Tribolium castaneum: one gene and its partner. The protein of the gene in region 1 purifies or fractionates together with the protein of each later gene. This does not show direct contact. Links are inferred from orthologs where the notes say so. Each region holds a gene or a part of one and is shown on either strand. Other genes may lie near its edges.

What was found.
Region 2: the proteins of Cpsf100 (region 1) and Sym purify together in Drosophila melanogaster (affinity purification with western blotting; 3 studies listed by BioGRID). This does not show direct contact. The link is inferred for Tribolium castaneum from reciprocal best matches to the Drosophila melanogaster genes Cpsf100 and Sym.

What each region holds. Positions count from the first base shown.
Region 1 is NC_087396.1:18,206,033-18,214,346, reverse strand, and holds the start of Cpsf100 (probable cleavage and polyadenylation specificity factor subunit 2), read right to left. Parts: upstream 4,278-8,314; 5' UTR 4,139-4,277; coding exon 3,990-4,138; intron 3,941-3,989; coding exon 3,675-3,940; intron 3,625-3,674; coding exon 3,379-3,624; intron 3,334-3,378; coding exon 2,922-3,333; intron 2,874-2,921; coding exon 2,718-2,873; intron 2,670-2,717; coding exon 2,398-2,669; intron 653-2,397; coding exon 230-652; intron 1-229. Other genes in the region: transcriptional regulator ATRX homolog, read left to right, coding at 4,551-5,055, 5,109-5,222, 5,277-5,318, 6,634-6,793, 6,844-7,716, 7,772-7,913. UniProt on the Drosophila melanogaster protein: Component of the cleavage and polyadenylation specificity factor (CPSF) complex that plays a key role in pre-mRNA 3'-end formation, recognizing the AAUAAA signal sequence and interacting with poly(A) polymerase and other factors to bring about cleavage and poly(A) addition.
Region 2 is NC_087398.1:8,154,008-8,162,269, forward strand, and holds Sym (symplekin), read left to right. Parts: upstream 1-3,407; 5' UTR 3,408-3,555; coding exon 3,556-3,594; intron 3,595-3,644; coding exon 3,645-3,841; intron 3,842-3,885; coding exon 3,886-4,275; intron 4,276-4,322; coding exon 4,323-4,609; intron 4,610-4,657; coding exon 4,658-5,118; intron 5,119-5,472; coding exon 5,473-6,588; intron 6,589-6,639; coding exon 6,640-6,837; intron 6,838-6,887; coding exon 6,888-7,046; intron 7,047-7,100; coding exon 7,101-7,379; intron 7,380-7,528; coding exon 7,529-7,585; 3' UTR 7,586-7,647; downstream 7,648-8,262. Other genes in the region: GRIP and coiled-coil domain-containing protein 2-like, read right to left, coding at 1-18, 68-3,234; Ccdc39 (coiled-coil domain-containing protein 39), read right to left, coding at 7,662-7,967, 8,016-8,206. UniProt on the Drosophila melanogaster protein: Component of a protein complex required for cotranscriptional processing of 3'-ends of polyadenylated and histone pre-mRNA. Involved in germline stem cell transit amplification, differentiation and mitosis-to-meiosis transition.

The sequences.
Region 1 (8,314 bases):
GATTGTAGTAGGTATTAAAAGTTTGCCGCTTCTTTCCACAAAAAACGAACAATGTTAGTATATGAAAAAAAATTGTTTCAATGGTTGTAGAGTAGATAAAAATTGGTACTTATCAGAAATTTAATAGAAATAAAGTAATTAAATGCGGCGAATTCCAATTCCAGAACCACCTGAGATCCTCTCTTTTATAAACAGACCCTATAATTTACGTCATTGCCACAAAATTTACCTTCCATTGGTTCGTTGTCGACATTCATCCTCCTCGCATCCAACTGACTTTCCCTGACCACAATCTGGGCGTTAAGCCACGCAACTTCGGCATCTTTAGCCTTCTGGAAATTCAGTTGAGACACCAGAGCATCAGTCAGACGCACTTGATAAATATGAGTCTCAGTTGTCGCATCCACGACTTCACCCCTGACTGGAGCAAACACTCTTGCATCGAGATTCTCCTGACAGTGATTTTTTATCGTGTTAGTACTCTCAGGCGAACCTCGGACGATTATAACTCTTCTGGGCCTCAACTGAGACAAAATTTTCATGAGGGATTCCCCGTCTGAGCGACCTTCGAAGTCAATATATTGCACTTGACAGTTAACCTGGACAGTCCTGCTAAGTACGATGCACTTGGACGGCGTCTCAGCCACCTCAGCTGTAAATATTGTCAATCAGTGACCTGTGATTTTAAAATTAGGTTGGCAACATTTATTATGTGAGGATAAGACTATGCCTAAAGCCGTTCTTCGGAAATAAGTAAATAAATAAATCGTGGGTTTATCGCAGAAAGTTACCAAGTCGGACATTTATTTTTAAGTTTTATTTAAACAAAACTATACCATTTTTTGGAAAGCAACAAAATATATAGTCTGCGAATTTCTATAATTCCACTAAAAAGTGTTATGTTTATTTATGTCTTACGACTCTTATATAATTTCTCACCAAAAGTTTAATTGCAGAAAAACAACATTGATTTTATAAAAACAATTATAAACTGAACTTATTTAAAGGCTTCCTTACTACTCACGCGTTTTTTATATTCACTTTTTTTCTCGAACGCCTTTTAAATGTGTTTTCTATTAAATTTTTATTTGATTTGTTTATTCATGTTATATAAATTTAGTATAAGTTTATTTTGTAACAGTGCTAAAAAAATTGGATTTCAAACAAGGCAAAAAAGCCAACAGCGCTTTTTATGGTCAAATTTGTCACAAATTTTAACTTTTTGTAAAAAAGTATGTGTGATAAGATTCCAATGACAAATTTATTGCCAAGAAAGCCTACAAATAAAGGGTAAAAATAATTATCCAAATTGGCAGTTTCTGCCACAAATTACGAACAGAAAATAATTAATGTTGCCAACTTAAATTCAAATCATAGGTCCTTAAATTCAAACTACAATTCTATGATACTAGAATGCGACACGACATATTAATTTATTAATAAAAAATCTCCATATTAAGATACCACATACGGGGTAATTCTTAAATTGACCGACAAAATTTTATCACAGCTATCCAAGTAAAAGTGGCGACGAAATTTTATCATAACTTTTCACCGAAAAGTAGAGACGACCTGTACATATTTAAGTTTTTATTTCGTAAGGCTCACTTACGGCGCTCATGGGTTTACTTGTATTGGAAAAAATGTGCTCGTTTTTATCATGAATATCGATAATACACAGTGATCATTGTTGCAGTGATCGAGTTACATTGTCATCAAATGAATATCATGCTCTCCAAGTTTCCATCAACTGTGCTAATACTACTTACGTATACATCAGTGACGTACTCTTTATCTCCAACATAATTTAAAAAAAATATTTCGAAAATGGTTAGGCAAAGACTTTTTTTATCAATTTGCCCTATACTCTATTGATACTCCCATAGTATTTTCTTATTTAAGTATAACGCAAAAAATACCAAAACATATATTTTTTTAAAAATTACCACAATTTTATTTTGAGAATACTGATAAAGATATAAAAAAGTGGAAAAAACAAAGTTGTAGAAAATTCAGTTTTCTATAAAGTAGTCCACGAGGCCACATCTCAATTTTCAACTGATTACATTTAATTTACTTTAAAGTGTTCCCCCAAAATCCACCTACCAGTAAAATAAGCTGCTTTAAACGTCATTGTTTCTTTATTTATTCTTTCAACTTTTTTTTTCTTACATTTTTCTTGTATATATAACCCTGTATTCGCAGCGTTTTGAGAAATATAGAACAGAACGCAAATTTTTTTTCGCCGCTCATTAAGAACATGATGCATTTTTTCTAATCAATCAGCGAACTAATTAAATTAATTTGAAACAGAGAATTTGAATTTTGCTCCACCTCACTAAAGGTTTGGTTAGTTGTTTGCCTTCTGATATTTAGTTGCCCGTAAATGATACTCACGAATGACCTCTTCTTCTTTTTTGATCACAACATTTTCCTTATTATCTTCAGTTTCTGTGACGACATCAGCTAGCTTGTAGTCTTCCGGTTTGATTATTTCGCCGTATTCGTCACATTTGATTTTTTCTTCGTGAAAAGGGTAGATGGGATATTGTTTTTTCGTAACTTTGAAAAAGCCACCTGAGGTCTTGCCTTCTTGTTTTATGACAATATCGTGCCGCCCTTTTGATATGACACTCATTTCAATATCATCGTCTGAATCCGACTCCTCGCTAAAAGGGGGATTAAGTGACAGTGTAACCCACCTAACTCAAACTTACTCCCTGCTGGAATTTTCCTCTCGTTTTTCTCTTTGGCTCTTTTGGTACTCTTCAAGTTCGCTACCTTCTAACTTGACTCGTCTTTTCACAACCAAATCGATTTGGCGATTGCCCCCATTATCGACTAAATCTCGAGCTAATGTCCCCGGAGACGTCCTTAAATCATACTTTAAGCGACAAAAAAAAATTAAATAAATTACAAACCTAGTCGTGATAATTATACTATTATTAGGATTTGAGCACCACTGAAGAAACAACTCGCGAGAGAACCCACTCTCCATATCAGGCGAACTCGCGAGAACAACTTTAGGACTTGAAACCTTCTGTAGTTCGTGTAAACTGTGACACAGTTGCAGATGTTTGAACTGGAAAGGATTATTTCTCGCGCCTTCAAAACTCCTCATCAGTTTATCACTCATCCACTCAATTTGAGACTTTGCAAACTCTACAACGTTGTAACTGACATTGCTTAGCAGAGCTAGAGAATAGACTAGAAGGCCTGATTCCTTGTTTCTCCAAAGCTGGTCCAACATATGGGCCAGTTCTAAAACACGGCCTGCTGTGTCCACAGCGACCAGAACGTTGCCGTTGTTCCTCAAAGTTTGCAAAATGTTGGCTAAAAAAATTATTAACAACTTTCCAACTCAACGCTCATTATTACTCATTAGTTTTTCGTCCCGAGCCCTTCTCCTGGCTTGTTGGTACGTAGCATTAAACGCATCAGTGATGAACAGAGAGGGCCTTTGTAACTTTTCTAACTCACAACCGTTCAAATGCCTCTCTTTTTTGTGGTTGAAATCATTAGCGTAAATAATGTCTTCTTCACCAACCTTCATTATTTTCCAAATTGTGCCCCCAATCATGTGCCCAGCAGGCAAGGGCGTGATTGTCAATCCATACCCCTTGCCTTTTCCCCAATTAACTTTTACGAAATAACAATTTTTGGAAGTTACCTACCTTTTAATGGAACACTCTGATTATACTTCAGCTGAATAACTTTCTCAAAAGTGGCGTCCACATCATCCAATGTGAATAAATCAAAGTCTTCCATATTATAATGAGACTGAAACAAGTCATACATAAACATTTGCCCCATCTTATAGACCGGTATTGTGGCATAAATAGGGCAATTCAAGCCCAACTTTCCGACTAAATATGGAAGAGCCCCCAAATGCGCCACATCAGGGTACGAAATCAAGACGGCGTCAATCGTGTGAACATGCCTTAAATAAAGTCAGTCAAATCAAGTTCCCGTTTTTAGGTTAAGTTCACCTTCTCATTTCTTTGATAATTTCCATATCGAAATGTTCGTCCCATCCACAGTCCAGTAAAATACGCACTTCGTCGACTTGCAGGATGTAGCAAGGGGGCGACTCGTCCATTGCCCCCGACAGGGCCTGCAGTTTGATTATTGAAGTCATTTTATGTGGTGTGCCCCAACTTATTAAACGGTGAGCATATTGGGTGTTTTGTGACCAGAAGTTAATTTAATACACAAATGTGCAAAATTAACTCATATTTTGGACAGTTTTGGTGGTGCAACAGGGACATTTGCTTTCTCATTTCTGACAGACGACAGAAAATTTCAACAGGATTGCCAATACAACAAAACAGTTTGTGACAGTTTAGGGGTGGTTTTCAGATTATTTTTGTTATTAATTTTTTCTGCAAAACGTTATGAAATCAGAGGATTTTTGGCTGTAGTGTAGTGATAACGTGCGTGAAAAATTGTTACTGATGAAAAAATTGACTCAAATGTAGTGAAGTGACTTCATAACCTTACATTTGCTCTTCCAATATTATTGTTATTTGAGTTATTACTAAAAGTATATTATGATGGAAAGTTCGTGTTCGGAACTCCAAAAGGTCCTAGTTGACGTGTTGAGTGACCTGAAGTACATGTCGACTCAAGTTATAAAAAAGTCGGATAAATTATTGAACGACGTAGAATCACTTAATCCGAGTTCCGTTGAGCCTTTAGCGCAAAATTTTAAAACTCTCATCGAGCGGATAAATATAAATGTGGGCGAGTTTGTAAACACATTCAATTCGGCCTTTGAAACGTACAAAAAAGCAGACGAAGCGGAGAAATCCAAAACTGCGTCTAGTCTTAAGACTCGGGAGGATCTTCCTGAAGTAAAAGCCGTAACCCAAGAGACTGACATAGATTTAGTGTGTGATATTGACTCAAATGCACAATTGCCAGGAACTTCCGGTACTCTAGACATTCCTACTGTAGATATCCAAGATGACAAAAGTGATGATGGTAGTGAGACTGATTGTGACGAGCCCACATTGCGAAATTTTGATATTCCTTTAGCTGATGGCTCCGTAGATGGTACTATTTGATTTATGCTTTGTAAAATTAATCGTTCGTTCCGCCTTTTCTAGACGTAGCCGGAGAATTAAAAAAGGCTTTAGATGAACTGACTAGCCAAGACGAAACAAAACACGAAATTAGGCATCATTTTGAGACTGCGAGTTTTGATTTTGACGATGTAGATGGTAGTTACATAGTCTGGTAATTTTATTTTTTAATAAAATACTTCTGCTTTACAGAACAGTTGACTGTTGCAATAGAAAAAGCCAAAGATAGCCCAGGTATTTGTCTTTCTTGTTTATTTTTAATAAATAAAGTAAACTACACCCAGACTTTCTCCACAATAAGCAGCTATTTTACATTTTAGTTGACTCAACTATTTAACAAATGAAATTTTAATGCGTTTTTAATTATTTCTACATCAGGTACACATTACGTTTTGCCTGTGTCACCCTTTTTTCTTTTAAGGCACCAAAATTTGTAGGTTAAGCCGAACAAAAAGTTTATTTCACTTTGTAAACTTTTTCTTTTCCCAAAATTCTGGATGATATGCAGGATGATCCAGTCCAGCTCCCGTCATCTGTAGCTAAGTTGAATCTTTGATATTTTATAGACGTTATTTATACTCTACGGCGCATTTTAGGAAAATATTTTTGATTATACAGTGTCTCCCAAAAAGGTTTGACGTCATACAATAATATTTTTTAATGGCATGCTATTATTTTTTGTGTGCATTGGGTTACCCTTTTGACATGTCCCTATTTTTTTTTCTTCCAAACTTTTTACATTTTGTGACTTTTTATTTTCAAATGGGAACCCCTGTTTATTTTTATATCATTCATCATTCGATGCGGAATTGGAAAACGAACATGTTTTCTTATTACAACCCTAACGTAAATCCTAATACATTAGGAGTTATTTGCTAAAAATTTTGTCACCTAAATAGCAATTTTAATGACAAATTTAATGAATAAAAATCGAAGATAGTTCCAACAGTGTTTATTTTTATGTCAGTCGATGCGGAATTAAAAAACATTTTTTTTTGTTAGAACAACTCTATTGTTTTTTTACTTCCTCATTGAATGACGTAAAAATAAACAGGGGTTCCCATTTAAAATAAGCAAAATAAATGCTCTAGATTTAAAAAGTTTGAAAGTAAGTTGTGAACACCTGTACTAACTCAGATCTATCAAAATTAATCAATAATAAGTCTGTTAAACCTTGTTCAACACATACCTAGTAATAATGTTATCAAAGAGTTACTGATTAATTTATTTTTTATTTAATAACGAATTTTTTTGTTTTTAAATCCCTAAACTGATATTAAAAAAATATGGATATGTAAGGAGCTATAAGGGTATCCTAATGAGCATAAAAAAATACTTTTTTGTGTAACTGTATAATCAAACTTTTTCCTGAAATATGACCTAGATTATAAATAACATCTACGAAATATCAAAAGTCCAGATTTAACAATAACTGAGCTACAGGAGACGGGAGCTGGACTGAATCACCTGTATGTTAGATCATTAAAACAAAAATTACTCCACTTGTGATTTAATCTTTTCTGTACTTTTTTAAGTATGTAAATTTTAGGTCGCGGACAAGAAGACAATCATGAACTTTTGGATTTGTTGAATAAAGCAGTCGACGACTCTGACGTGGATTTGATAACTAAGGGCGATCAAGCCTTACAGATTTTAGAAGAGGATATGTCATTATCAAGTTGTCAGGATTCATTCTCGGATGATTCTTTGTACGTTATTGGAATGAATTAATTTTGTTTTAGAGCCACTTTTGTTTTAGGTCTGATGATGATAATTCCGATAATGAAGTAAACCGTAAAAACGAAGATAATGTTGAAGACTTTTGCTCTTCCGTAGCTGCAGAAGACTGCCAAAATTTTTCTCTAAAATTACGACGCATTGATAGCAGTGATGGAGAAATAGATAGATTATGTAACACGGACACACTCAAACGAAAATGTAAAAAAATAACAGCACGACATAGGAAAAAGAAATACAGGCGATTAATACCTTTGGACAGTTCTTCGTCGTCATCATCGTCTGAGGATGAAAATTCCTCAGATGGTTCTGTAACGCCTGATCTCATTATAGACGAACAACGCCCTTCTTCACCTGTTTTTGGTGATGATGCGGAAAATGAGGCACTTGCGGCTTTGGCCGATAATTTAGTGGACAGATTGGACTCAGGTGAATCAAGTTCAGATTCGGACACTACTGAGGAAGAGGAGCCAGCTAAGAAGAAAAGGAAAATGACGCCTGAAAATATGGATGAAAGTAAAAATGTAAAGACTACAACCGAAGACAAGGATACGAGTAGTTCGAGTTTGGACGAAGAAACGATTCCAAAACGCAAAAGCTGGAAAAACGATCCTTTGCTTCGCAGTTCGAGCTCAGACAGCGATTCGGATGCAGATTCGTTGGTATTCCATGTGAGAGATAAAAGAACAAAAGATAACACTGATCTGAACGAAAACGTTGTCAAAGTTAATAATAACAGCGACAAGAGAAATGTCGTGGAAATTGAAAATCTTGATTCAGATCAGGAAAGTATTAGTGAAAATAAAAATGAAATTAAGGTAGCAAATAACAATTTCGAAACTATGATTATAACTGATTCGTCTGATTCAAGTTCTGACAGTGACGATGTTCTTATGTAAGTGAATGTGTTTTGTGTAGTTTTGTGGTTTTAGAAAACAACAATTTTTTAGCGTTGAGGATGAAACGGGTGGAACGAAAGGGCGCAGAAACATCAGGGCTATTTTAAGTGACGATGAACTTAACGAATTAACTCAGCAAGCCAAAAATGAAGAAAATGAGAGAATTATGCGACTCGCCGAGCATTCCAAAAATGTAAGTAATTTTATGTCGTCTTACAATTTAAAATATCATACGCAGTACATTCCTGTTTTTTAATTATGAATTAAATCTGTTTACATAGAAAAATTGATTCTTTTTTAATATAACGATAAAGTTGTTTAAGCTGTTGCATTGTATTCAGTTAATTTACCTCTACAAAACTATAAAAAAACGCTGTTTTGCAGTTTAAAGTTAATCGATAATTTTTACAGTTGTTCACTTATTGGGACATTCAAAATCAAATCGTTTTTTTTTTAATTCGCTCTGATGTCTTTTCTTCACTTTTCTATAGCTCCAGGACCTTTAAAAGTTTAAATATCATTTGGGTCTATTTTAGAAACACAAAAATTAGATGAAACAAAAAATATGTATTTAGTTTTTCACCAATTGGTTTT
Region 2 (8,262 bases), on another chromosome or scaffold:
AAATCGTCAACAACAGTTCTACAAACGTGACATCAGTCACAAAAACTAAATTTCCACTCTAACTTACTTGCACTTGTTTAGCTCCGCAGTGAGAGCCTCACACTTAACCCCCAGAGCTGACACTTCTTCCGACAATTTTTCCTCGAGACCAACATCGCGACTCTGGTTCTGTCTCAAGACACTCTGCGCCCGAACCTTGTAATTTTCGTAATCATTTTGCACGATTTTCAGTTCGTCTTCCTTCAGTTTTAGCGCATCTTGGACGTCTCTCAAAGTCTGCTGCAGCCCCAGAATTTGCCCTTTCAAATTTTCTTTCTCGCTTTTCAGGCTTGTGTTAACTTTCTGATGCTCGGCAATGACTTTGGATAACTCAGTCGACAGTTCCTCATTTTCCGAACGCACGGTTTCCAAAATTTGGGTCAAATCGTGAATTTTGTTCTCCTTACTCGACATGACCGATTCCAAGTCAGAAATTTGCTTCTTACAAGCGATAATTTCAGCCTGTGTTGCTCCGACTTCGCTCTTCATCTCTTCCGCTCGTTCTTCTAAAAGCTTGTTCTGTTCGCGGACCGCATTTGTTGTGCTTTTCTGCGACTCGAGCTGGCTTTTCAACTTGTTGATTTCTTCTTGCTTCTTTTCCAATTTCTGGGACAACTCCTTGACACTCCTCTCGTAGTCTTGCATTTCCAGGTTAAGGACGGAGTTTTTCTTGCGTTCGATATTGGAATGTTCAAGGGAATTTTTCGTTTGTTGGTGGTACTCGCTCTCGGCCTTGAGCGCCTGTTCTTTGGCCTCCAAGTCCGAGGTGAGTTTGGCGATTTTGGCCTCGTATTCCTTCTTCAAAACCTTATTCGCTTCGAGTTCCTTTCTAAACGTCGAAACTTTGCCGCTTATTTGCTTCTTCCAGGCTTCAGTCGTGACTTTCTCTTGGTTTAACTCTTCCAATTCTTTCTTGAGTATGGTGATTATCTCCTCGTTTTCGCTCAGTTTTTGCTTATCTTTGGAAACTTCAGCAAGGGTCGAATCCAATCGGGCGGAATATTCCTTTATTTGTTTTTTGTTTTCGTCCAATTCGTCTTGTAATTTATCGCACTGGGCTTGCAAAGTTGCGATGGTTTTCACGTTACTGGCACATTTTTGCTGAATATCGTTCTTCTCGTTTTGCTCCTTCACCAATTCGTTGGACAAGTCACGAACTTTCCCTTTCAGTTTCACGGCCAAGTTTCGTAGTTTTCCGTATCTTTCCTCCCAAGACCCTTCCAGATCTTTCATTCTGTTTGATTCCTCCGTTCTTGAAATTGTCGACGTGGACATGCACTCGCTATCGGCGTAACTTGAATCAAGATTCGAGTTTAACCGTTCTTTCAAATTCTCAATTTCGTTTTTCAAATCACTGATTTCGGAGGTGTTTGAGTTTAAGTCACTCGTGGCTTTAAGTCGCTCGATTTCGTCTTCAAGTTTTTTAATTATTTCCTCCTTTTGGGATATGTTGTCAACGTTTTTGTTGGCTTGTGTCTCATACAATTGCAATTTTTTCATAACTTCTTCGCAGTGAGATTGCAATTTGGAAATAGTCTCTCCTCTTTCTTTCAGTGCTTGATTCATTTCGTTCATTTCGGCCAAAAGTTCGGAATTTTCTCTCTTCAAACCTGACACGACTTCTTCCAGTTCGCTGTTTGTTGAATCCTCAGTTTGGCATTCCACTTGTTTGCAGTTATCACGGGTGGTTTGCAATTTTCGGTTCATTTCCACCAACTGGGCATTTTCTTGAACTAGTTTAAGTATTTCTTCACTGGTTTTATCAGCAATTTGCCTCTCCGTTTCTTTTGAATGTTCAAGTGCTTCTTGAAGACTGTAATTCTTCTGCTTCGCATCATTTAGCTCCCTCAAGTTTAAATCTAGATCCTCCTCCAGCTTGGAGATGACTTTTCGGTATTCAATGCAAATTTTTTCATTTTCTTCGATTCTGTTCTTGATCTCAATTGTGTCTTTCTTGCTTTGGTCGTCAAAAACTTTGATTTCTTCCTGATGTCTTTCCTCCAATTGAGACAAATTCTCAAGCAGACTCTCCTTTTCAACAGTGAGCGTTTCAACAGTTTGCTGGTAGTCAAGTTGAAGTTGTAACAATCTTTGATTTTCTTCAATCAATTTCTTATGTTCTTTGGAAATTCTCTCAAACTCGCCAAGTTCTTTACTTTTCTCGTCGTCGGTTTTATGTGCCTCAAGTTGTTTCAGATATTTTGCATTACTTTCTTTCAAACCTTCAATTTCCTTGTGATATTCAGAGTTCTGTACTTTGATATCACTAATTTCTTGGCACAACTTTTTTGAAGCTACACCCAACTGTTCTTTCCATTCTTCCACTTGATGTGAGTACGTTTTGAGCAAACGCAAAACCTCGTTTTTATTTTCCTTCAAAACCTTCACATTACCGGCCAGTTTTACAACTTTTGAGTGATAAAATTTCAGTCTCCCTTTAAGTTTCTCAACCAACTCCACATTTTCTCTTGTTTCATTTTTGATTTTTTCTAAATCCTCGACCAATTTCAATTTTTCCTGCAACTCTTGGCCTATCGTTAAAATGTTCTTATCCTTCTCCCCCAGATTCGTCTTGAGCACGTCAATTTTCTCCCTCATTGTGTTATTCTCAGCTTGCAACTTCTTAACTTCCTCTAAACTAATACTAAGCATCTTCTGCAACTCTGCAGACTTATCACTTGTGTCATCACTCCGTAACTTTTGATTCGCCTCTTCCAACATCAGCAGCTGATTTTGCTGTTCAAGTCCCAGGTTTTTGCACTCTTCGAGTTGCTTTTCCAGAGACTCCAGATGCGTAATCAGCTGCTCATTTTCATCCGTCAAACGCTTGATTTGCCTTTTATACGAAATATTCTCGCTTTCAAGCCTATCCTTCTCCTCACACAGACGTGCGTCTTGCGTGCAGTTTTGCACTTTATTCACCAAAGCGGCATTTTGGCTCTTCAAGTCTTCAATCGTGGTAACAAACTGCAACTTCTGTTGGGTCAAATTTTCGATAATTGCAGTTGTGGCATCTCCAGATTCCGATTTTAGCCTATTTTTCAGCTCGTTATTTTCCTCCTGGAGCGCGTCCTTCGCCTGTTTGGCCTTCTGGGCGAGAATCAAAAGCCGTTCGCACCGTTTAACCAATTCCTCTTTCGATAAATTCTCCAAAACGATTTTCTTGCCACTTTCGGATGGCGTATTCGATTCCATCTCGATAGTTACTTAATCTATTGTATTGTAATTTCCAAGTAATTAGCAATTACATTGTATTTTAATAATTTTTTATTATTTTGACACATCAATAGTATTTTGACAGCAAAAGTCGCCAACAAAAAGCGGAAAAGTTACTGTTTTTTGGTAACATGTTCACGTCACTTCTGCCATAACCTCAATCTTTGGCTTTCCAAAAATGGATGATTGGCTCTCATTTTCAATTAATTTAACGCTTTAGATAAAACTAGCTTTGTTTTCGAAATTTCGTTGCTTTAGTGGCAACAATTGCGTCATTTTTGGTTGTAAAATCCTCTCGACATGGATTTTACCATGAACGAAGTTTCCGACGAGGATTTAGTAAAAAACCGAGATTTAGTTGATTTCGGTAGTAAAGAGACGCGTTTTAGGTGACCCAATGGATAAATAGCGCTGCAGTGTCCCGCTCTGCTGCAGAAAAGCTTGAATACTTCCACAAATTGCAAGAAGTTTTGATTCGGAAGTCGCCCCATTTGCTGCCAAAGTTTTTACAAAACATGCTTAATTTCACGACTGATAGGAATGGGGACGTGAAAAAAGCGCTAGTGGGTTTTATTGAAGAGTTATGGTAGGTTTTATGCATTTTAATTGGTTACTTAACTTTTGTTTTAGCAAAATGCGCGAGTCTCTTTTACCTAAAGTAATGCTAAACCTTCATATGCTACTATGTGATGAGTCAATAGCGGTGCAAAAGCGCGTAATTCAAGCTTTAATCAGTATTTATCGCAAAACGTTGGCCTGGTTATGCAAGGCTTCTGTAATTACAGAAGAAATGGAAAACGCCTGGAAGCAATTGTCTGCCATAAAATTAGAAATTGCAAATATGATTGATAGTGACAATGACGGCATTAGGACTAGTTCAGTGAAATTTTTAGAATGTGTTGTGTTGTTGCAAACTTATCCCGACCAGGAAGAGAACAAGAAACCGAACGACTTCTCACTCGATGATGTTCCTCTGACGTTAAAATTGGCGCGGAGGCGAAAACTAGAAGAGGAAGCAAAGTATTTATTTTTTTTTAAATTCGCAAATTTCTAATTGAATTTTTTAGTACCTTGTTTGAGTTACTTTTAAAATTTTTTGGCTCTCCCCATATTAGCAGTGCCAACTTGTTAACCTGCCTGGGCGTTGTTACAAACATTGCAAAAAATCGGGCCGAATTTATGTCTCGAGTTGTCTCAGCTATTGAATCACTTTACAATAACCTACCTCCAACTCTAACAACAACTCAAGTGAATTCCGTGCGTAAAAAATTAAAATCCGAACTCGCTGGACTTATCAAACACCCAGCGGCTTACGAATTTGTGGAGAAATTAACCCCAATGCTCACCGATTTAGGTGCGTTTTATTTTTACGCAAAAAAATTTTTTAGGATTTTTTTCTCAGGTTATTCCCAGCAAGACATTCTTAAAATGGTACCGAAACCCGACGAGCGGCGGAAATATTGCAAGAGGACTCTCTCAGTTGAGTCCCTTCAGATCTACAATAAAAGACCTAGACTTGATCCTCAAATTGAATTCGATAACGACACCAATGACAGTGATTCGCAAACACTGCAAGAGTTGAATGAGAACTTTGTGTCTGAAAATTTCACGTTGGAAAGAGCGGTTCAAATGGTTTTCGCTTCTATGAGTAAACTGCCGGCTACAATGTCTCCCGATTTTGCGAAAGAGTATGGCAAATATGTCGATAGTGGAAAAGTTGGCCAATTTGATGTTTTGACAAAACTTATTGCCACGTATTTGACTGAGGCCGGGGTTTCGCCGTCTTCGAAAAGTTTTGCAAAAAAGGTCGAGGAATTTAGACAGCAGGAGAAGGAGGAAGAGGACAAGGAAGAGAAGGAAAAGGTAAGAAAACAATTTTTGCACACAAATAATATAATAATAAGTAAAACAGAAACAGTAATTTGCAATTCAGATTTCACATTTTCAGCTGTATTTAAGAAAAGATAAGATGTAATTCATTGTACCAAATATTTGTCTATTTATTTATTTATTTATTTATGTATTTATCTTTATCTGTTAGCTTATGTTGGTTCGGATGATTTGAGAAGTTATGTATCACGCATCCTGTATTTTTTTTAAGTTATGTTTTGATAACTTATCGTAATTGTGAGGTCAAAGAAATTTTAGTAATTATTCTTAAAAAAAAATATAATGAAGCCTCTATTTGTTTTACAACATGTTTTACACATTTGGTAGCTCCTGAAGAAGGAACGAGCAAAAGTTCCCCGAATCAAGACACTGAAACTGTCCGAAATCACCAAACCTATCGAGAAAGAAACAAAGGAGAAATTGTTAATAGGGTCCATAAACCGACTTTTAACCGCGGACAAAACAGCCGCAAAATGCTTGTACCAAAAACTAATCACCACAATCGCAGCCTGCTTTAGCCCCACTGTCAGACAAACAGTGTTGGCGTTTCTCCTATCAGACTTACGGTCTCACATAGACCTGGCCCTGGCGTGGCTTTTTGAAGAGTACGGAATACTGCAGGGCTTCTCAAGAGTGCCCCCTTTACGCAAAGACACCAAACTGGACAAAAGCTACAACATCTTGCTTTGCACATTTATAAACGCTTGTATGCACGACTCAGCAGTGCTCTGTCGATTGTTTTTGGAAGCGCCTTTAATAACAGACGAGGCTTTGGATAAGCTCCACCAGTTGTGCCGAGACGAGAAGAAATGCACAGCAGCTTTGGGGTTGTTGCACGATTTGACGGTCCGGAAGCCCCCCAAACAGTTGATGTTCCTCAACGCCCTCCTCTCGTACACGACGTACGAATTGAGCGTGGTAAGAGAGTGTGCCATTGGACACGTTTTGGAGTTGCACAAGAAGGTGGAGTTGAGGTTGGTGATTGAGGAGTTTGCACGAATGAATTTGGAGTTTTTGAAGTTGCAAAGGCCGCCGGAGAGTTTGTGTGGGTTTAGTCAAGGGAGGTTGAAGAGCGAGACTTGGGGCGATGATTTTATAAAAGCTTGTCTTATTCCGTATATTTCGCTATTGCCAGCCAATGAGAGTCTTATTCATGACTTGGCTAAGGTTTACGTACAGACGGGGGCCAACATTAAACGGATTATTCTACGTCTGCTTGAAACCCCGATCAGATCAATGGGGATGGACTCACCTGAGCTTCTAAAACTGGTGGAGGAGTGTCCCAAAGGCTCGGAAACTTTGGTCACGCGTGTTATACACGTTTTGACGGACAAGGGCCCCCCGAGTGCACAGTTGGTGCAAAGAGTCAGGGAATTGTATCACACGAGAGTGTCAGATGTTAGGTTTCTTATCCCAGTTTTGAACGGGTTATCAAAGAAAGAAGTAATGAGGTCGAGCGTCGTTTGTACTTTTGACTAATTTGTACAATTGTAGGTAATTGCAGCTTTGCCAAAGCTAATTAAATTGAACCCGGTTGTTGTAAGGGAAGTCTTTAACCGACTTTTAGGCTTACATGGTGACAGTCCAATTACCCCAACTGAACTTTTGGTCGCTCTACATTTAATTGATTCCACGAAAGCCGACTTGAAAACTATAATTAAGGCCACATCTATGTGTCTTCAGGAAAAACAAGTACGAATTATTTTCGCACCGAATATATTTCTCAAATTACCAAATTCCAGGTATTTACTCAAGAAGTATTAGCTGTTGTTTTGCAACAGTTAATGGACCAAACCCCGCTACCAACTCTACTCATGAGGACTGTCATCCAAGCTTTGGGCAGTTATCCCCGACTGTCAGGGTTCGTGATGAATATTTTGCAACGTCTGATCTTAAAACAGGTTCTGTCGTATTACAAAAAAAAAATAATCAATATTTTTTGTTGCTTTTTGAAGGTTTGGAAACAGAAAGTGGTATGGGAGGGATTTATCAAATGTTGTCAAAGAACAAAACCGCAAAGTTTTACTGTTTTGATGCAATTACCACCGCCCCAACTATCTGATGCGTTGTCAATTTGTCCCGAGTTGAGGGAACCGCTCAAAGAGCATTTGCTGAATTTTACTGAAGGGCAAAGGTCGCACATCCCGCCCACAGTCCAGGAAATCATTTTAGGAAGTTACGCACAGCCGCCACCAACGATTGTTCCGCCACCGGTGGTTGTAACTCCAGAAGAGGTAAGTCCTAGTGACTTTTAATACTATTTAAAATAGTTGAGATCGAAACTGTAATCAATTAAAAAGGCTTTGTTGGGTGGAACTGTTTTAGTTGCAGCTTAATCAGCAGTTCCAATTTTCTGCGGTTTTTTAGACAATTTTTTTTTCAGCCGATTGCTGCGCCCCCGACATTAGCCAACGAGCCTTTGCCGCCCGGAATGGAATAAGCGTTAATTTAACTTTTATTATCTCAATTTTATTAACAAATGAATAAAAAACCTTACTTTAATTGTGTATTTTTACCTACATTTGGAATGTAATTGAGACTTTTGAAATTGCGGAACTTTTCGTCGAACTGGACTCAGATTTGACGCTTTTAACGTCAGAAACGTCTTTTTCTTGATTACAAGAACTGCTGGACGTAGACCTTGTTGATTCTGAGCAGGCACACAAGGAGGCAATTGTGCGTTTTTCGGGTAATTTGACGTCATATTCGAGCGTGTAACGAGTAATCAGCGGTGCCATTTCTTGATAACGTATAGACATTTCCACCAAACGCTGCATAGCACTGAGATTAGCTTCCTTCAATTGGCGGATTTCCAAGTCTCTCTGAAAAGATAAACAAATAATAATTGGAAAAAATGTAAATAAACTTACGTCATATTTTTCACGTTCCTTGTGACGAACTTTCTTTTGTGCGAGTTTTAAACAACGTTCAGCTCTTTTGAGCTTTTCTTCTTTCTCAGAGCTTTCTTTCTCAGTTTTTAAGTACTCTTCCTCCAAGTCGAAAAGTGCGTCTTTGGCTTGATCGCGTTTTATTTCAAGCTCTTTTAGTGCATTTTGTACTTCTACGAATAATAAACGATGTTAGAACGTTTGTGTTGCATTTTGAATTTTTGTATTG